Drosophila melanogaster: one gene and its partners. The protein of the gene in region 1 interacts with the protein of each later gene in a pairwise test. Each region holds a gene or a part of one and is shown on either strand. Other genes may lie near its edges. The genes, in order: CG6126, Cpr50Cb, CG33169 and CG31211.

Region 1 (7,262 bases):
TATCACGTTGAGCTGCTAATTCAGATTTATGTAATGAGTTATTAGAACATTTGCTGTATGTAATTACCTAATGATAACGGCAATAGTGTACATTTCCTTGTTCAATTAACTTCAGTGATCAATTTCTTCTTAGGATCCATGAAATGCCGGATTTCATAAAGAAAATAGCTACCATTTCATTTAAAAAGCATTCATGAAGTCTTAAATATTTCCCCACAGATATGAGAACGGCGACTGGGCCCAACGCACCGACTGGCATCGTGTAGTGGTGTTCAAGCCCAATCTGCGTGACACCGTGCTGGAATACTTGAAGAAGGGACAGCGAACCATGGTGCAGGGAAAGATCACCTATGGAGAGATCACCGACCAGCAGGGCAACCAGAAGACTAGCACCAGTATCATAGCCGACGATGTGTTGTTTTTCCGTGATGCCAACAACTAAAATTTAAGCCCAGATCACCAAACCTAATCTTAAGCGAAAAGTTGAACTTGCAGCATTGTAAGCATTTATAATATTCGTTGGATATATTGTGTTATCAGATTACATGCGTAGTCGTACTCCACATGTGTCTTTTGGTTTTAACTCCTTGACCTTTTTGCATGGGAACGGTGCGTTGAATTGGCGTGCATGTTCGTTATAAAGCTGCTCGAACTCCTTTTGAACTTGTGTGACCTGGCTCTTCAATTTTTCGATATTTTTTTCCATAGACTCCAGTGTATTATTGTGGTAATCGATAAGCTTGGTTACCTGTTGATACACTCACTTTAGAAACTCTAAATACAACTTTTAGTCATCATTTCATACCAAATTTACGGAAGGTACTTTTGCGGATATCTGCTCATTATACGTCGCGACCTCCTCTTTGATCTGATTGCAATGATCGACTGTTTTTTTCGAAGACATCAGCATACTCAGCAAATCCTGATATGTGGTACTTGCCAAAGGAAACACTTGGCCTGCCAGACTCTCAGGACTCGGATAGCTCTGCTCCAATTTCGTAACTGCTTTCTCCGCCTGTATAAGGTTAATCTCGTTTTCATGCAGCTCCATTTCTACCCTAAGCATGGTGCACTTTACTGATCTCAGGGTATCATCGATGGGAAGTGCCTGTTGGAGTATGAAAAATTTATATCCTGTTTGCCTATGGCCATTGAGTCTCACATTTTTGGCATTGTCTAGGCAAATTTGTTCCTGTTCCTTAAGAAATTTTAACTTGGTATTGAAATCTGATTCCATTTCAAGGCTGTCCTGCATTAAAATATCCGCCAGCATATCCAAGTACAGGAATGTCGACGGATCTGATAAGTTTGGCTCACACATAATTTTAAAATTAACTTTAAATGAATTTTATGTATTTTTTGTATGTGTTTTTGTGACTTATGTTTTGTTTGTCACTGAGTGTTAGGCAAATCAAAGCTTGCTAAGGTATGAGTTTTCTGATCGTATTCTAATCTAAGGGATCCTTGCCAAGAGGCATCATTTATTTTCATACATCAAGGATTATAATGGTGATTACAGTTTTTGAAGCTCTTACCCTCGAGCAGAGTTTGCTCTTTAGTTCCCAACTTTGGAGACCTCCACAAGCTCTCTTCGCTCGCGAGCTTGGAGCGACCTTATCGCCATTTACCACTCAGTTTTCTCGCTGAGCGACACAGTTCGCAGTTAGTTTTTGCCAGTTCAAATGCTGCCGGCGGTCGGAAGAGTTGATAGCTGATCGAGCGCTCCGTTTGCGATTTTGTTTCACTCGAGCACGTTGTTTATCCCGGATTCGTTTTGCATCTTCGCGACCCGTAACTATCAGCAGTGCTGCACTGGTGTGCCATTCATACATGCTCCACTTCTGCAGAAGATGACGATTTGTTAAGAAGCAATAGCAAACAGTTACTTTCATTTATTTTTGATTATCAATAAAAAATCAAACATGGCTGTGGATTATGTACTGGAGGACCTGATGGGGAAACTTGGTGAGTGGAATGGGCTTTTGGGAGCGAAGACTTTTGAAAGGTCAGCTGTTACGTTGCCAGGCGTCTCCATCCCGTGCTGATAAGAGCCTGGCGTTATGCTTATCATTTTGAGAGGTCTTATCAGCGTTGCAAGCTACTATGGATAATATTTTGTTTCACGACGACCAATGAGGTTTACCGCCCAACCTTCTGTTCTGCTTTTAAAATCTATAATTAATTTTTCCGTATTATGCTTTTAATCTCCGCCTAATCTATCCGGCTGGCTGTCCGTCACGTCAAGTGCTCAAAAGAAGCCGACTATAATACTTTTTTAATTGCAACTATTTTCATTTTCATTTTGCACTATTCTTAATTTAATAAATCGTCGAGGCCACCAAGTGACAGACATTTATGACAGCTTGATAGAGACTCCGACCTGTTGCTCCCCTTTTGACTATATACCATACCAAGTATGTATTTATGTACACATATAGTCGACACATGTTCGTGTGGGCCAAGTTCTGAGCTGGAGGCTGTCTGACACTTGTTGAGCCTACTTGGCTTTAGCACAGTGACGCTAAAACGAGTGTGGCGGCTAACAGGCAAACAAAAATAAAACGGGTGCAAAAGGGGCGGTATCTGTCACAAGACTGTGAAGTAGGCTCGTCATAAAGATCTTGGGATCTACGGATATCTGGGTATTTGCTTATAATTTATTATATACTCTAATTGTGCGGTTCAAACATTGCAGCTAGCTTGTGGAAGCTACAAAATTAAGCGTGTTTATATGCAGTATGCAAAATAGTTAAGATTAATTGTGGGAATACAGTGGAAGATCGATGGATAAACAGTTTTATTTGTCACGGCTACAAATTAGAAATTTATGAGTCACATAAAATATGAGTTGGAATATAAAATTTGTGTCAACGATTGTGCTGAAATTGTCGTTAATTAAAATAGAACAGTTTTTTACAATCCGAAACTGGTTTTGTATTAAGCATTCGCAAAACCGCAGCCTATAAGAAAGTGACAGGAGAGAGGGAGTAATAATCGCATTAGCGACTTTTTTATTCGTAATATATTCGCATACATTTGTATCTGTGAAATGCAAAAAACCTTAAACTGGTTTGCTCACATTCAACTATATGGCAATACCTCCCTCAGCCATCAAAATTCACATATCGCTCTTTTATTTCTGTTTACTTTGTTGAAGGCCTATTGGCGAGCAGCAACTCTAATTACTTCGAATTTGGAGGCGTGTTGCATTGCTGAGTTGGTTGTTATTTGTACGTAAGAAGGTTACCATAAAACCAGCAACTTAAAATGACTTTGAGAGCACTTCCACACGTGCTATGTGGAGAGCACAGAACAGAACTAAATCGACCTTCAGTTGTTAGTAAACGCGGGAAGTGAAAATGTTGAAGTACGGATGAACAAAAACCGAAGGAAGCCTTAAAGTGGAGGTGTAAAACCATGATCTACCTCAATTATTCGAATCATGATACTTAAGCACAAAGGAAATTTTAAAAGCTTTGAAGAAATCAACTCTGAAATAAAGCAACAGTTGATAGTAGAATAACAGTAGATTAATATACATGTGCAATATTGTTAGAAATATGACTGCATTATTTTTTAATATTCCGTGTTCTTATCCATCTCACTTATCGCTCAAAAAGTTTGCCCAGAATAAACAACGGTCCAAACCTGCGCCATATTCATTTTAATGTGCAAACTGTTGGTTTTGTACATCATAATAGATGGCTTACGATTAAGAGAACAACAAACATTGACAGGGCCAAAAACAAATGTCGTATTCAAGGGCCACTTGGCAACAATTATACGGCTAGTTATATTGGACGGATGCAATAAATCTGAAGCAACAATATCACTGATATATGATCTAGCATTTGGTGGCCTCTGATAATCCGCTATGAGTTCCACATTAGTATTTACTATTACGAGTTTAGTTATCACAAATTTGGCCAATCGATTTCCTAGATTGTGCTCAATTATACGCTGATTATGTCTATTGGGGGCGTAATTGAATTTCATTAGGCGTAGAGTCAAATTTTATAATTGAGATTAATTAAGTCAACCCGATGACATAATTTTACACTTCACGCAATCGTTTTAATAATGAAAAATGAAAATTCTCAGACGTTTTACTCATGATTTGTCGATTGCAACGTAACCGGGGTGAACGTAACTTTTCATTTGATGGCAAGAGTTTCGTTTAAACGATCAATAAACGTAACCCACAAATCAATTGAAACGGCTGATTGAACATTGGACCGTGATCAAGTGTCAAATTCTCGTATCTAGGCTACATACTGTCCATGTCGTTAGAAATTTACACAGCCCCTGGCCTCCCATCAACGCGATCGCCATGGACTGACTGACCAGCCAAGTCATAATCGATTCAGTGCATTCTCCCAAGACATCCGAGTCTCTTTTCATGGCGTTCGAAACCAAAACCAAACCAAACCAAACTGTGGGCAAATATTTGACGGGCTAGGCGAATGCGCTTCAATTGAAATCGAATTGAATAAATTCCACTTGATTTAATTGCAAAGCCTTTGGAGTGACGACAATTCCAGCGATACCCATTAAAAGTTCCCATCTACATAAAAGTCGGCTGTTTCTTTGGGTTGTGTTTTTATCGCAGCTACGTGATGTTCAAATTCAAATACTGAAATAAAAAACCGTTTTAAATAATTTGAGCTAGAACAACTTCCGTTTTCAGCTCAACTTACTTTCTTTTTATTATATTTAATCGTAAACTGGGTGATTCATGGGTGCTACAGATTATCACTATCTATCATGTTGCTGAAAGCTCACATTTGTTGTGCGCTCATAACCTTTCCCAAGACATTAATGATTGTGAAATGTCTTTCTATTTTTTTCTATCCAATTGCAGGGGAGTTTGGAAAGTACCAGTTCCTGCAGTTCTTCCTGCAGGTGCTCTCCGGCCTGACCGCTGGCATGCACATGCTATCGCTGGTCACGGTGGCCGCCGTGCCTGAGCATCGCTGCTTCATCGAGGGCGTGGATAACAGCAGCTTGTCGGTGACACCATGGAACTCGAGCGCTATCCTGGCCGCCATTCCGCTGAAGCCCAATGGCGAGCTAGAGTCCTGCCTCATGTTCGATCCCAGTAGTCCTGGCACCAATACCACCATCAATTGCGAACGTTACGTATACGACACGACGTACTACAAGACTTCGCGCACCATCGACTGGAACTTTGTGTGCGATCGCCGCTGGATGGGAGCCATTGTGCAGACCGTGTTCATGCTGGGCGTGTTCACAGGCGCAGTCACCCTTGGCGGACTCGCCGACAAAGTGGGTCGGAAAACCGTGTTCTGCTGGTCGGCCCTGTTCCAATTGATCATCGGTGTGGGTGTGGCCTTCATTCCCGAGTACTTCTCATTCATGGTGGCTCGCTACCTGCTGGGCATTGTGGGATCAGCGGGTGCCTACATCTGTGGGTTCGTGCTGACCATGGAACTGGTGGGACCTACCAAGCGTACTGTGTGCGGCATTACCTTCCAGGTGAGGAAGACTTCAATAGATTTTGCATTTTTTAAACTGGCTATACCATGCAATACTTTTAGGCTGTTTTCGCTGGTGGCATCATGTTGGTGGCCGGATGGGGAGCACTCATCCCTGACCGCCAGTGGCTCCAAGTGATCTACGGACTGCATGGCTGTCTGTTCCTGGGCCACTGGTGGTGGCTCGATGAATCTCCGCGCTGGCTGTGGATGCAGGGACGTGCCGCCGAGGCGGTGGATATTGTGGCCAAGGGCCTGAGAATCAACGGATCGGGCATCCCGGTGGACAAGGAGTACTATGTGCAGAAAGCCAAACAGCAGGCGGCGGCCGAAGAAAAATCCAGCGCCGGATTGAGCGACCTCTTCCGCACGCCCAACTTGAGGATGAAGACTTTGAACGTGTGCCTCTGCTGGTTCGCCAATTCTCTGGTTTATTACGGACTATCGCTCAGTGCCGGCAAGCTGTATGGAAATCCCTACCTGATCCTGTTCATCATGGGCCTCGTGGAGTTCCCCAGCTACATAACCATTGTGTTCGTCCTAGATCGCCTGGGTCGTCGATCGATCACCTCCACCCTGATGTTGGGTGGCGGTCTATGCTGCATTGTGGCCGCCTACATTGCCCAGGGCAGCACCACCTCCACGGCGGTGGTAATGGCAGGAAAGCTCCTCATCGCCGGTTCCTTTGCCGTAATCTACAATTACTCAGCCGAACTGTTTCCCACCGTGGTGCGGAACTCGGCCATGGGATTGGGATCGATGTGTGCCCGTTTGTCGGGAGCCCTTACTCCGCTCATTACATTGCTGGACTCATTTGATCCGAAGATACCGGCCGTGCTGTTCGGCGTGGTGGCCCTGATCTCGGGCTTCTGGGTTATGTTCCTGCCGGAGACAATGAACCAGCCCATGCCCGAGTCCATTGAGGATGGAGAGAACTTCGGAAAGGGAGATACTTGGTTCAGTCAGTGTGCTGGTCGCAAAAAGCGCCAGAATAGCGTATATCCCGACGATCCGGAGCAAATGGTGCCGCTCAAGAACATCGAGAGCAAGTAGAACCTAGCCAAAGACGATTGTTTCCCAAGTCCAAAATCCAGCTTAAATTCCTTGTTACCCTGTGTTTTCTTGTTAAGAATTCTACTCTTCTGCCTAGTAGTAAGATTTAATAGTTTCTATTCATTCCAAGCGAATAAAACGATGTGCAGAATATGGGGAATCCTAATTTGTGGATTCACTCATTTCTGAGTGTCCCTTTGTTGTTTGTACGGATTTTTTCTTTTAATTTTTTCGGTGGTAAAATTTAGTTTAAAGGAAATTTAAATGCTTGACGAGCATTTTTACTGATTAGTGTTGTCTACTTTTAGGCTCTATCAATTTAGGCGCAGATTCATAGCTTGAATTTCAATTTTCTCTACGGTAAAACCAGTACACACCAAAAAATTATTTCCCAACTATTTCCAATTAAAGTTTATTCTCCGACCGACACAGCCAATTCGGGTTCGTCTGGCCTTGCAAAGTTTCAGTAATTTCCACTCAATTGCACTATCGAATTGCCAATTGCCGACAGGGATTTCCAATGTCAAATCCATAACCCATCGCTTCCCTTTGCTCCACATGATGTTTAACCCGCCAATTAAAGTTTGTTTAAAGAGAGAGTTTTGGTTTTTCGGTTTTTGTTTCTTGTTTGGTAATTCTTCATTTTGTTTTGTTTGGTACATTTGAGAACATTCATTTCGAATTTGAATATATTTTCAATTTAAATTTTAACTA
Region 2 (4,830 bases), on another chromosome or scaffold:
ATCGCAGCTACCAACGATTGCACTTGATTTCGAGAGCGTCTCAAAAGAAATTTCAATTTGCCCCCAGAGTTTGCGATATGGGTAACAATCCCAACAATCCGAACAATCGGACCAGTTGGTAGTTTTCAGTTGCCAGTTGGCCCCGATTGTCGGCGGGTATTATGTTGTTAAGACATCGTTTTGACAGTACGTTCGCCTCCGCGTGAAGAAGACCGTTTGAGATACACACACACCACATACACACACGCGCGCACATGTGTATCCGCAGCTCAAGTGTCACGGAAATCTAAAGTTAAAAGTAACCAAAAGTTGTTCAATTACTTTTCACAGCGGTCCATTGAAGATTGCCAGCAGGTGTAAGCGGCGCTGATAGAGGTAACATCTTAGGTACACGAAATGTTACCTTGGAAAATGGGTACCAAACTAATAAAATCTAATAAAATTGCTTATAAAAATAAGATATTGAGATATTAGAGTATCTTTAAGATTGCAGCTATTGAAAACTAATACCATATCTAATATTACAAATATATAATATTATATTAATAATAGTTTTAGTCATAGCCCAGTGTAATTGGTAATAACATTTCGATTTTGGTACAAGATTTTCGCATCACTGATTATAAGATGGGTTGATTGTAAGTGTAGCTATTTTCGATTGATTGCTCCCCATAATAATTTCAATATCTAATTTTAATATCGCACGCACGCACACATCGCCACCTCGCAAGTGGTCAATAAAAATGTGAAGAAACTCTGAAATCAGTCATCGGATTGCTTTTAATTGTTATTTAATCTCGGCTCGTACAGAGGCGCTGTGATACATTCAAGGTTAATTGGTTATGGGATGGGATTTGAGGCCTGACGGAAGAAAAGGAGCCATGCGGTTGATGTTGGTTGGAAGGAGGAAGTTGGCCCAAAGGCACTCGACACGTCTGCCAGCCTTGTGCAATGGCCAATGGATGAGTTTCGGGGCCTCGGCTACGGATCTTTGGCATGAGCCTCACGTCATAGATTGCATTTTGGCAGAGGTGCTGCGGGAAATTGGGACGCCACATGAACACGTTTGTGCAGCTTGTGCAATTTTCCCCGGGCAACCGCATCACGTACTTCTCACCAAACTTATTCTATGTTCTGATGCTTTCCCAAAGGCCAAATGGCAAAAAAAAAAAAAAGAAGAAAAAACAAACAAAAATAAATATATAGATATTTCGAAAAAGGGCGACTGTATCTTTGGAGGCTAAAACGAAACCTATCATCTGACATTCCCAGTGACATTTTCGTATCGTCTCGATGGCAACTGCATCGCCCGAGGGCCCAGACTTCATAAAAGCTTGGCTTAAATATCAAATTTGGCCGAGTATTTAATGAAGTCATTCGGGGCGTTGCAGGCTCTCCACTCGAACTCATCTTGTTATACATCCGCCCGAGCTTCATCATCATCGTGCCAGCCATTCATTTATCATCTCGTTACCCATCATCGTAATGATCGTGCCACGGCGATGATCTGCAACATTTTTCACCACCTCAACACCAAGACTTGGCCAAAACGGTGAGAGCAACGCTGCGCTCTCTTTGGGCCATTCTGAGAGACTCGTGGATGTGGATGCTCTTGGCTCCAGCTCCACGGAGGCAGATGATCTAGAAGTTAGGCGCTAGACTTGCCTCAATTGTTCAAACCGCTTTTTCGTTACTTTTAGGTGCAGTTGGCAACGCGAACGCCGCTGCTACCGCCGCTGCCGCAGTCGCCGTCGCCGCCGACGTCGCTGCCAGCGTCTTTGAGCGTTTATTATAAAAAGCAAGCGCATCTCCATTGTCTAACCTAATTCAAAACGTTCGTGTACTTCGTGCGGTTGTCTAGGAAATCAATCTAGCCGAACCTAAAAAGATAAAACCACCTCCTCTTTAACTGAGGCCCCCTCCTAGTTGAGAAATCCAACCGGTGATAAAAAAATAAAACCCTCCCCCGCCCGGTGAAAGTAAGAGTTAATACAACTATTGTGGCAAGCGAAGGACTACAAATTAAATAGTGTGCAATAATCATAAAAATAACACAAAAGACACTCGATTAACTCGAAACAATATAAATGAAATAATTGACAACTCTAATGAATTTAATTTAATTCAATTCAATTTCAACTTCAGCCAGCGGCGTTTGTGGATACACTACTTTTTGCCATCGTCTGTGAACGTAAAATCGAAACTCAACTAACAAAATGATGTCCTTCAAGTCGTTCGTCCTGCTTGTGAGTATTTATACATACGTACATAAAACAAGGACATGTATTTCTGGGCCTGGAAAAAAAAAACATAGCTAAGCCTACATAAATCAGTTGGCCAAACAAATCATATGAGATTTCGCAGGCGTGTCCTTTGGCTAAAGCGAAACTATATATGTATGTATGTTTGCATGTATGTGTATGTGTGTGGAAAGGCCAGCAAGCTAAGCTTGTTATATGTCAAATTTGTTTATCGCTGGCAGGGAAAAATGACCCGTGGTCACTCAGTGTCCTTTTTCGTCTACAATGTCATTTTTCTGCTGCGGCTTTTGGGGAAAGTTTAAATGAGATTTGCTAGGAGAACTGAAGGCAACTACCCATCAAACTGGTTGTTTCAAGTGCCTGGCAAACTGTTTGCCTTCCTTTTTTTTCGTTTTTTTTTGGTAACACTTGCCGTCAATGGCAACGAAAATGATTGCATAACTTGCCACACGTCTGCCACAGAGCCTCTCATCATCATCATCATAATCAAAACCCAAGTCCACACACACACACACACGAAAGTCAAGTGGCGAAGGGGCCAAAGTAACCCCGCCGAATCGAACAAATTGCAAATAATCAAAGACACTTAAGTGCTCCACTCCGCTCTGGTTAATATATATATATATATATACATATGTACTTGTACGTACTCCTCCATGGATACGCATTCAATATTTGGCAACATCTGCGTTTGCCAAGTGCCACGTAAAATACGCCCCAAATCTAAGCAATACTCCCTGATTGTTCCTAACTAAACACTTGAGTTTCGGAGAAGGCTAAAAGGTTGTAAGGCGGAGGACACATGTTGGTAATATATTTCCCCTTTCGTATTTAGGCATCATCTGAGGAAAATTGCAAACCTTTTTGCTCCCCTTGAACAATTGCAAATATATAAGGCTCCAACTTGACTTTATTTTGTAGGCAAACTTTTCTTAGCTGGTGCTAAATTGACACAAGTTTTTTTTCATCAAATTGTTGAAAAATATACTTTATACTTTACTAATATAGTTTCGTAAAAATATTTATATAATTTGTTTCAAATTGCTGTAAATTGACACAGAAAGAGTTGTGCAACTAAGAAATTTCTAGGTGATCCAAAATCCTTTCTGTTACCTATTAATTTACACATTTCGCTTTGGAAATTCTCCATATTCTCACAATTTTATTGTGAAATTACAGTATTGAATACTTTTCCTGGAAGTCCAGAAGTTAACCCGCAATCAAGAGCACACTTGTAAACTGCGAAATACTTTCACTTGTTCGCCATTGTTAAAGCATTTTGAATCGCGTTTTGGGACGACGCCCTTAAGCAGGCAACAAAATAAAACAGACGCGAGTTTCGCTGGCTGCTCCTTGATGTCCTTTTATTTTTTGTAACTGGGGCGTGTTAAATTGTTGGTGCGACACTTGGATGCAATGCAGGTCCAGACGGCAGACCACACTGTCTGGAATCCATCCAATGTACCTCCGCCCATTCCGCGTTACGTGAGCACACAGGAGAAAAATTAGATTTCTTCAAAAACCAAAAGTGTCTAAAAAGATTGAGATATAAAATTATATTAATAGGTACTCAATGAAAGCCATTCAAATGTATGAAGATTTTCAAAGAAGACATAATCAATATCTAATTAAAATTTAATTGGTCATACATCATGTAATTACTCGAATGAATTTTTACGATTAACGTAATCGTGATTAATGGACGAGCATAACTAGTAGTTAAAATAAACGCAATATATATGCAATGTTTGAGGCCAAAGTGTTAGATCTTAAATGTTCTTCTATTAGCCATGTTTTTTTTCAGCGGTTTTTCTCGCAGTGCACTCCTCCATCTCTGATGCGTCTGGTCTGCCAAGCAGATAACTTCCAAAAGGTACACCAGACGATAGCAAAGGAATAGAGTTTGAGAGCAGAGTGTAGAACTCCAGCCAGACGCGTGTAATTTGCCGCTTGTAACTTTTTGACTTTTCACCAGCGATTCTCCATTTCCCCAATGCCGCTATATTCCCCTTATTTTCTTCTCCTTTTTTTTTACCATTCTTGTTTTGGCCCGAACTGGGCGAATAACAGCAGGCACGGAAGCGTACCAAGCCAAAAATAAAAACCAGGAGCCCAACCACCCACTGCCACATCCGCCCACCAAAAGGCAGACACTCGATAGACAAATGGCCGCTGGCCAGTCGAGTGCACGGGCTTTTGAGAACATCGGGGCGAGCATGTTTTACATGTTAATTTCAGCCCGGGGGAGACTCAACTGGCCAACTACCCAGCTAGCCAACTATAGGGTACAGAGTACGAATACGTCGAGCACCCACACCAGCTAGTAATGCCCAACTGCTGCTGCATATTAATGCCCATGATTCCAGCTGCTCATTTTCGCACGCGAAAATTGCAGAACTGGTGGCAAAGAATTCGAGAAACGATTGGTAGCATTGACTGGCATTCATTCGGGCACGCTTTTGAATTTCAAATGACAAACCTAAAATATTCACAGTTTGATATTTGAGTCCGTCCGATGATGGTGCTGCTGCTGCTGCTGCTGCTGATGATGATGATGAGCTGGCAAAAG
Region 3 (3,172 bases), on another chromosome or scaffold:
CAAATATATTGTGGTTTATTGAAGAAAACTTTCAACATATGAGTGGCTTAGAATGAGTACATTTGTTATTTGCGTAGCATGACAACCCTCGGCTATTTGTTAACAAATCCTACTCGTATCCTGAACATAGGCCAGATGGTTAGAAGTGCATTGCGTATTACATTTTAACTTCGATCCTAGCTTGTTTGTAAATTAAGAAGTGCTACCACTAAAATTACTTCTAAGTTGCCTGTGGTACTTGCGTTTAATTGTTCGTTTGATCATTCGAATAGTGCGATCGGAGGCCATTCGACGAAGCCATGCTCCATCAAAACGCCAAATCCTCCGAAGACAGCAATTCTGGCTGCTTGCCGTTTAGATAGAGGTGGCTCGGGGGGGGGGGGGGGGGCAGCTCTGACAATGAGTGAGCAACGATAATCTATTATGACCGTAACAAGAAATAAATCCCAACTCGGTAATCCATCATTTTACGAGTTGGCAATCAAAACAAGGGGTTTAGCTAAGAGTTGGTCTCCCGGCCCCAAGGACGGACAGGTGGACCGGGCTGACGGACGGCGGCCTGGCCAATCAGCGGACTGGCCATCACACATAGCTGGCCAGCGAGCTAACGAACAGGCCGTGTATGATGGTCGTGTAAGCGCTGGCCAGAACCAGGAAACTAAGATTGGACCTGGACGGGAACACGACTTTCGGACAGCCGCGTGCGCATTGAGGCCAATCTGTATGTAACGTGAGGACTCGCCCGGGCTGGCAGGTCTAGGCCTTTAGGGGCCGGCTAAATAGTTGCCAATAATCCGTGTCCAAACTGATCGGGTTGCCGTTTATGGTAATGGGCAAAATTAGATGCCGAAATGTGCGTTGGCTCGCCAGGCTTCATTACCAATGCACAAACTTGGCAGTGCGTCCCGACTGATTGGCCACTCGGCCACGGTTGCCGGCCAGCGGTCTGCATTGTTATTGCTTCATCAAGTGTGCAGCGGCCAGCTTATCCAGCACGTCCGGTGTCCACAATATCCATAGTGTCCAGCACTCGCGGCAGAAGCCCAAGCAGTGACTGCGTGGCATAGACCCGACCCCTGGGAGTATTGCGAACTGCTCAAACATTTTCGAAATCGCATTCAGAGGTGAAGGTGCAACAGTTGCTGGCGTATCTTGTTTCGACGGCCTCGGGTGCAGTTAAAGGGCTTAAAGGGGCGGCAGGCCAGTTAAAGAAAAATATGGGTTAGATTCTTCCGCAGCGCCATGCCAGCGGTCAATACAAAGCAAAATTGAAACGCGGTTCTCTCCGCCTCCGTTTAGTACCGCCTGAGGAAGAACAGAAGCTGTGCAGCATTGACAAAAACCAACCCAAAACCAATAGCTATAATAATGTATAAATATCATTTTTGAATAATAGAAAACTTTCAATTACTAGTAAAAGGTACTCTTTCGAATTTTCGATGCTTGGTATAAAAAAATACCTCTGAAGCAGATAGAAAAACATTCAAATATTTTGACTACGATTTACTTTTAATCTGACTAAATTCGAGTGAGATTTTATTCGTTGCAAGAATTTTGTAATATTTATTGTAATGTATCGTTGTTTCGTTATCTTTGGACAACGTCTATACTCACATATATGCATATACGTTTTTGACTTTCGCCTGCAGTCAAAAATTTATTCAGTCGGCTTTATTTTCTTTTAAACTATATTTATTTTATATTTTGTTTGGGTAAATAAAGTATTCACTATTGACTGGCAAGTGAATTTTGTACAACTTGCTACGACATTTTTATGTTCAGATGGAGGCAAATACAGCCCCAGGTTAATTGATGGCTTTCTAACTTATGAAATGCGTTATTTAATTATAAAGACTTTTTTAAACGCGCGCTTCCGTCCCAGAGACATTGTTCAACACTAGTCGGCCGGACGTGTCATCAGAGTAACCCGACCAGAAACTGCATGAAATAAGCAGCACTGTCGACAGTCAAAAGCTGCCTGCTTTTAGCCAGCCCAGTCGAACGTTTCTTCTTCTTCTTTGGCCCAGAAACAACTTGTTGAACGAAAGAAGGCCAGCTCTCTGTTTTGTTGCTCCACGCACACACATTCCGACGAGTGTTACACGTCACCAGATTAAAGGAACTATCGCAAAAACTATCAGTGATAAAGATGCGCCAGCTGAAGGGAAAGGTGAAGGAGACGCGCAAACAGAAGAAGGAGCGCAAGCTGGACAACCTGGAGACCCAGGCGAAGATCCGCACCGTGGTGCTGCCGGCGCTCGGCGTTTTGGCGGTCTTTCTGGTGCTGTTCGTCTACTTGAAGACCCGCCCCGCGGTCTTGGCCTAATGTAGTCATAAAATGTAGTTTATAGTCGTGGTCAGTGCAATTGAATCGTTGTAAAGACATATAGCCTTAATAGTACAATTAAATCACAGTTCGTCCATCCAAAAAGCATGTTTTACATAAAGTGGATTTTCCATGACACGAACAACACCCTGCTGTTCAAGTGCAGTTCCTGGGAATTTGAGATTTGGGGACAAAATGTATCCGAATTACGGTCGTTGGTGGTAGTGTTGAAAACCGTCTAGCGCTTTGGCGGTTGATTAAAAAAGGGCACTAGGAAACGGTAAAAACCGTAGCAGAGGCACTTCAATATGTAAATATGTGCATATGTATATTAGAGAAGGCGGCATCCACCAACATGTTTTATTTTTGGCCGTTTTGCGTTCAGTTTTTAATTGCGATTGCCCTTGTTTCAGTTTCACTTACGCCCGTCCACCGAGGAGCTCGTCGTCGGTGACCGCAAACTAATAATTGTTAATACATATGCATATGCATGTACATAAATTGAAGTAAAAGTTCAGTGCTCGAAAGGCAGTAACTTAACTCCATAGTTATCAGAGTCAGCCAAATACGATTACCTAACCATACAAACACAAATCGCAGTGGGCCAGTCAGCTGTTTTCAGATTCCGAGCAGCTGCAGACGAAGCGCCGAAGCAGCGTCGTTTGACGTTTCTTTTTCACATTCTCTCACTTTTGCTAAGACTCTCACGCTGGCGGCTGCGGGTGACAAAGGCTCCTTTAACTATTCCACTATGCTCAAGTTTCTGGTAAGTTTTCCGGTTTCCTGATGTTTTTAAGTTTATGATTCACACCTGAAATCATATCAGATACGAGATACAACTTTTCT
Region 4 (6,689 bases), 4.2 Mb from region 1:
TTTAGCAATTATGCACGAGTTATCTCACGGTCAACTGGTTTTTTTCGAACGATTTTTTATTGTATTTTATACGAGTCGAATTTCGCATTGATGGAAATGCAAATAAACGCGCAGTGAGAAGAGAACATTTTCCGGGCCCCACAGCAAAAGGAAAAAGAAAATTCAAAACGGCACGCGACGCACGAACTTAATTATTTACTACGTGTGTGTGCGTGTTGTTGCACAACTACAATAAAAACTCAAAAAAAAAAAAATTAAATAAAAGCAAACAACAACGATCCAATGTCAGAGAACCACCCACACGAATTGAAAAGTCAAACGGACAAATTGAATTTCGGCCTGCAATTTACGCTTTTAATTAAATCATTAAAAGGGGGCACAAAGATTACGATTACGCCATTACAGAGCACACAGAAAATCAAGATCTGCGTATGATACCAAATTTCTGAGATTAAGTTGATATTTCATTTTTTTTTATTTTATTTTGATGGTTGAAAGATTGATATAGATAAAGACGTAAATTGAACTTTTGTTTCCTTAACATGACAAAGAAACTTGCAACCACTAAATATTTGTATATATTTTCAGTTAAATCGAATCACATGCTAAGTATATTAATAAAACGTTTGTCTTTGTAAAATCAACGAACTGTTGATCATCTATCCGTCCTGTTTTGCTCCCAGTGTAGCGGCAACAGTTGCACTGTTTGGTGTTTGGTGGCTCAAAAATGTAATTACGCACTCCAGTGCAAAAGCAATCGACAGCAAATTACATATTTGTAATGGTTTGCAATTGAACTGCTTTTAAAATTGAATAGCAATTAAATTGTTGCTTGGCAAACACGAACACACACAGCCCGAAAAAAAACCAGACAAACCACTACAGACAGACTCAGACACACACCGATAGAAACGCTGCTGCGCCGACGCAACTGCGCTGCAGAACTTCTCTTCCTCTTCTCCTTCTTCATCTTTTAATTTCTTTTACCTTTAACTATTATCTATTTTAGCATAATTTCATTCACACACCAGCTTTTGTTTGTATTGAAATTAGTCGCGGCGGCTGTAATTAAACAATGCGGTATTTCGAAACTCGCGCTGAGAACGACCGACAATAACACCAACACAGACAGGAGCGCGCCCTTCTCGCACGCACACAAATTTATTATAACACGTAAACAACAACGCCGCAACGCCGACGCAACTTATTTTTCCGGCAGCGACGCGTCCGCATACGTCCGCTCACGTTAAGTTCCGCAGAGAGAAGTTGTTGAAAACATAAACAGAATCACTTGTTGCACTCTTTGAGAAAAGTGGGGCTATTGCTGAAAAAACCAACTAAAAATATTGCAGGTTAGGGATACTCGCTCGATTGGCGTACGGCCACACTTTTGCGACTTCACTGTTAACCTCTACTTCATAGAGACTTTTACCCGATAAATGTTATGAGTTTGACTTTCTCTGTTAATCACAAGAAAAAATATTGTGGAAATTAAAATTATCTCAAATCAATAAAAAATAATAATATATACACCTATGTTTTATAGAAGTCAACAGTAAATAAGTTATTTGGAAAACCATTGTAGCCGTTTAAATAAATCTCCTTGAGTGTGTTTTAAATAACGGTCATTAAGTATATTACTTGGCCCTCTGAATTTCTTGAATTACACCATTTTTAGAAATAAATCAATCCAAAAGACTACTTTTTGGTGGCAAATGAACTGCATAAAAAGTAACAAAAGAAATATGTTTTTGAAATAACAGTATAGCTGAAGTGTATTAAAAAATACCGTCATATGAGCGACCCGCTGTTACCGCTTCGCTGCGAATGACAAAACGGGCTGAGCAAGAAAATGGCGTAGAAGGCGACGAAAATTCGTTTCACTCGTGAAGAAAACCTCGATAACTGAGGAATACAGCTGGGATTTAAAGAGCATATTCGAACTACAAGCAGAGATGTTTCCTGGTGGAAACGGAAACGCCGATTTGGGCTACAACAAGCATGCCCACGTCCATGGACTTGGACAACATGGCCATGGGCACAACCATAATCACAATCAGTTCCTGGCGCAGCCCCCACCACCCCCCACACATTTTTCACTGCCCTCCGGGGGCGGTCAGGGCATGGTGACGCCCATGGTAGCCGCCGGCCTGCCGCTCGCCATGCAGGGTGGCGTTGGCATCGATTGGGCGCAGCTCGCCCAGCAATGGATCCACATGCGGGACGCTACTCCGGTGCCCATGCCCCTGGCCCCTCCGCCGCCCATCATCAGCAATTTGCGAGAATACCACCAGCAGACGCTAGCAATGCCGGTGCCCAGTGTGGTCAGGGCGGGATTTCCGCAACTAGAGGAGCACGGCGAGGCGGATATGGACATGGACGATGAGAATGATCGGGGACATAGCACTGAGACACCCCCACCGCCAGCACCTTTGGTTACGCAATCCCAATGGCTGGCGGGCACCGAAGTGGCTGGTCAGATCCCAGACGCCTCCAACGGAGCGGGTTTGTAGAAGATCCAAGAAGATAGCACAATAAATCAGGTCAGCAACTAACCCTCCTCTCCGTTCCTTGCAGCTGTCACGCTGGGCAAGCAGCCATGGACCGGGTGGCAAATGCAGACCGACAAATCAGGCAATTCCACGGCGCATATACCATCTCTGCTGAAGCTGAACGTGAGCAATCCCAATGAGCCGCACCAACAGCTGCAGTTGCAGTTGCAAGCGCATCAGCAGCAGCAGCAGCAGCATGCTCCCCAACCAACGCATCCACACCATCCACCAGCACATCAGCCGCATGCACATCCACACCACCTAACACCACATACACACCTGCCGCCACAGCACACACAGCAGACGCATGCGGAAAGCGGAAGTAGCGGGGCTAGCAGTGAGATCGATGCAAACAAACGGAAAATGTTGCCAGCTTGGATAAGGTATGAGTGTGCAAAGAACCACAATAAGATGCACAAAAGATAGATACTTGTAATAATTTCCTTAATCTTTCAGAGAGGGCCTGGAGAAAATGGAGCGGGAAAAGCAGCGGCAACTAGAGCGCCAGCAATCCTCCATGACCACGCCAGATGTTGAGGTCAACCATGTTAAGCAAGTATCAAGCAAAACACTAACCACACCTGGTAATCTTTTGAACATCGCGAACGTGGTAAGTAAGGTCGATGGGCGGCAGGGTTAACTGACTCTCAATACGGACAGAAAAGTGCCGAAAGCGTAGCACACACCATCTCACACAAATTGGTTGCACAAAATTTAGACGGGACTGAACCAAACTGAAAACGATGTTTCGTCGTTGAAAGCACACAAAACTTAAAAACAATCCGGACAGTAGAGCAGACTGCAGGCTTGAGTGCAGGCTGTCGATTAAACATTCCCTTGAAATTCAGGCTAGCGACAGCGAAGATTCCATTGACGTGCCTGTGGAGGCGCGTGGAGAACTAAAGGTGCAGCAAATAGGTAATGAATTGATTAGTAAGGACGACGATCGAAGCAGCAGCAGCAGCGAAGAGCCAGAGTCGGAGCTGCATGGAGCCATCGAAACCGGCAATCGGACAGTGGCGGAGCACGTGAGAATGGCTACCGTAAACGATGTCAATGGTAAAAACTACGAAGAAAGACTGGCGGATCTGGTAGGCATCACCATTTGACCCGGATGTTTGCTCAGCCAGGCGATGAAATCGAGTGAGTCTCAGAGGCGAAGGAACTGCGGAATTCTGACAACACTTTACTGGCTGCTCTGCAGTTCGTTCACTCTTCACTAGAGTTTCATTCCCTGGCCATCGGCGGCACATCCAAAAAAAAAACCCATTTGTATAGTTGCAAACAATGAATATGAACACCCAATACCACCCATCTGTAGATGCTTGTGGTGCGTCGGACACTAACCGAAATCCTGCTGGAAACCACGAACGAAGAGATTGCAGCCATTGCAGGCGAGACTCTAAAAGCACACCGTGCGAAAGGTACATTATGCATTATACTTAAGTTTATCCCAAACCGATTTCTTCCAGCGCTCGCGCTCGTGTGTGTGTGTGTAAGTAGTTATAGATCGTAAGACGGCGCGGATATATCGCGGATCGATTGTAGCTTGGATGACCGGATGTTTCGGCCAAGCGATTGGAGTCGTGTTTTTTCCGGCTTCACAGCGCGTTACCAACTCTTTTAATCCTATGTCTATGCTAATAATCTTTAAATCCCTAATAATGAATTGATATATCGAACACCACACAAACCAATGAAATCACTTGCTGAATTTTTTAATTTTAATATATAATATATATAATTATATATATATATGTATGTATGTGTAAATCAAAAGCGTCATCAGCCCAAGTGATTCGCAAAAGCGCCTTGTCCTCCATTACCGGCAACTTGGGTAAGTAACCAAATTCCAGTTTAGTTCATACATATTCTTTGCACTATTTTTGTTCAGAGGTAGTCTGAGTTATGCTTGGTCATCCTGTCTTTCTATACCCCAAATCCTAATCACAAAACGAAAAGATATTACAAAGAATTGGATTACTCCTATGGCCGAGATTTAACATTCTATGCTTCCTGTAAATTTAAGCCATGGCCAAATGATTTCGACCCCCTCGGCGCAGTTTGGTCTTTCTAGCCCGCTTCTTCGTCCTTTCGCTTCCCCATTTCCCCTTCCTTTCACCTTTCCGTAAATTCTTGCGAAGATATTGAAAATCAGTTCAAAATATACCAAAATCTGCGCCCGATCTACATTGAAGCCTGGTAGCAACAATTAGCACTTGACTGATTTGAATTATAGGTTTAGCTGCCTATGGCGATTCTTCCAGCGAAACCGAGGATGATGAGGATGATGAAGATGAGCGTCAAGCGGGCGCTGGAAAGGATGCCGAAAAAAGCGCGCAGCTAAGCGCGGAGGAGTTGAAAGTAAGTTAGCCACACGTTCATTATCAAAAGATATCAATTCTCAATATTATTTGGCTTTTAGGCTCGCATAAGGCGCAGCAAACGATCCTTCGAGAAAGTCATTGACGACATTGAGGATCGAGTGGCCAAGCAAGAGCTGCTTGATGAGCAAACACTGCTGCGACATCGCAAGCGGGAGCTAGAACGCTCCGTAACTGGTGGTGGTGAGCATCGTCGACCGGCGGCCAATCCAGAACCGCCCAGTGAGTCGGCTAGTCAAGCAACCCAGGAAAAGCATCAGCAGTCAAATGGTATAGGTGATGCACATAAATCCAAAGAACTCCTAAGCATACATTGCCATCATTTAGGCAAAAGACTCAGTCGCAAGGAACGGACCACCCGCTTTAGCGACAACAAGGACGGCAAACAGCAGTCGCAGAGCTTCGTGCAACAAGTAGTGGCGACCGCTGTGGTGCCACCACCCGGAAGCCTAAGCAATAGCAGCCCACAAAAGCTGAAGCCCGTTCCCAATCCGGCCACTAATCTACTGCAGATGCCGGAGTCGGTGGCCACCATGCTGACTGCGGCTGACAAGGCGCTGCACAAGGCCAACAAGTCGTCGCATAAAAAAAGCAAGCGCCGCCACTCGTCCCCCTCGTCATCGTCTAGCAGCAGTGGGAGCAGCTCTAGCAGCGATAGCGACGACAGTAGCAGCACCTCGAGCGGATCCAAAACTTCAGGCAGCCGCAGCAAGCGATCCAGTCGGCATGGACACCGCAGCCACCACAGCAGCAGTCGGAGCAAATACGAACGTCGCGATCGCGACAGAGAAAGGGAGCGGGCGCGGGAGCGAGAGCGGGACCGTGATAGGAGTCATCGCCAGCATCGTAGTAGCCAGCTTAGTGGAAGTCACCACCAGAAACAGCGCCGACATCGCGAGTCCAGCCATTCAGGCGAAGATGCTGGCGGTAGCAGCAGTTACCACCGCTCCTCGCGGCAGAGCAGCAGCCGTAGCCATGATCATGGCAGCAACCGTAGCCATGATCACGGCAGCAGCAGCAGCGGACGGAAGCGGCACCGCACGAGATCCCGCTCCAAGTCGCGAAGCACTCACCACTCCAGCTCGAAAGCATACTCCTCCACTTCCGCGTCGCATCCGCGCAAGCGCCATTAAGAAAAATCTTGCGCGTAAAAATCCGAAGTTAATTGTTAATATTACATAATTATTATTTCTTCTGTTTAAGATGCTTTTTAGTAAACAGTTTTAAATCAGCCTAATAAATTAAAAACTCAGAAAAATTTGTTTTTTTTTCATGTGTTATGCGAATATCCTCATAATAATTAGATATATTTTTAAAGTTGGACATACGGGAATACGGGAATTAAGTTCCCAATAATACAAACAAGTAAACTTTTTTAAATTCAATAAATAATTTATTTTTTCTATAAGCAATAACATTTTTGCTAAATTAAGACTTGGTAATTAGGTAATACTATTGTTGTTCTATGGAATATTCGATCGAAACATTCTTATCAGTCTCAAAAACTTAAAACAAACTTATAATATAACCCATATGTTATAACCCATTGATGAACAAAAATTAGACTCTTTGGCCTTAGTCGACCTCCTCGACCGTGGGTCCAGAGTAGCCTCCAAATCCTCCCGCCTGCTGGCCGCAGTTTGCTCCCGGACCACCAGCTCCAGCTCCCGCACCCTGCTGATGCATCTTGGTCATGATGGGGGAGCAGTGGCGGGTGAGCTCCTCCAGCTTGTGGTCGAACTCCTCCTTCTCG

The links.
Region 2: the proteins of CG6126 (region 1) and Cpr50Cb interact in a two-hybrid assay, tested with the Drosophila melanogaster proteins (one large-scale study listed by BioGRID).
Region 3: the proteins of CG6126 (region 1) and CG33169 interact in a two-hybrid assay, tested with the Drosophila melanogaster proteins (one large-scale study listed by BioGRID).
Region 4: the proteins of CG6126 (region 1) and CG31211 interact in a two-hybrid assay, tested with the Drosophila melanogaster proteins (one large-scale study listed by BioGRID).

What each region holds. Positions count from the first base shown.
Region 1 is NT_033777.3:16,197,494-16,204,755, reverse strand, and holds CG6126 (uncharacterized protein), read left to right. Parts: upstream 1-1,672; 5' UTR 1,673-1,922; coding exon 1,923-1,965; intron 1,966-4,861; coding exon 4,862-5,496; intron 5,497-5,558; coding exon 5,559-6,548; 3' UTR 6,549-6,756; downstream 6,757-7,262. Other genes in the region: mtSSB (mitochondrial single stranded DNA-binding protein), read left to right, coding at 220-442; CG31287 (uncharacterized protein), read right to left, coding at 542-748, 806-1,108, 1,163-1,321.
Region 2 is NT_033778.4:13,792,960-13,797,789, forward strand, and holds the start of Cpr50Cb (cuticular protein 50Cb), read left to right. Parts: upstream 1-1,817; 5' UTR 1,818-1,979; intron 1,980-2,145; 5' UTR 2,146-2,216; coding exon 2,217-2,246; intron 2,247-4,830.
Region 3 is NT_037436.4:22,861,834-22,865,005, forward strand, and holds CG33169 (uncharacterized protein), read left to right. Parts: upstream 1-2,030; 5' UTR 2,031-2,149; coding exon 2,150-2,326; 3' UTR 2,327-2,663; downstream 2,664-3,172.
Region 4 is NT_033777.3:11,947,850-11,954,538, forward strand, and holds CG31211 (uncharacterized protein), read left to right. Parts: upstream 1-1,830; 5' UTR 1,831-1,955; coding exon 1,956-2,505; intron 2,506-2,577; coding exon 2,578-2,935; intron 2,936-3,008; coding exon 3,009-3,162; intron 3,163-3,400; coding exon 3,401-3,643; intron 3,644-3,873; coding exon 3,874-3,976; intron 3,977-4,332; coding exon 4,333-4,389; intron 4,390-4,791; coding exon 4,792-4,916; intron 4,917-4,977; coding exon 4,978-6,069; 3' UTR 6,070-6,189; downstream 6,190-6,689. Other genes in the region: Hsp70Aa (heat shock protein 70 Aa), read right to left, coding at 6,512-6,689.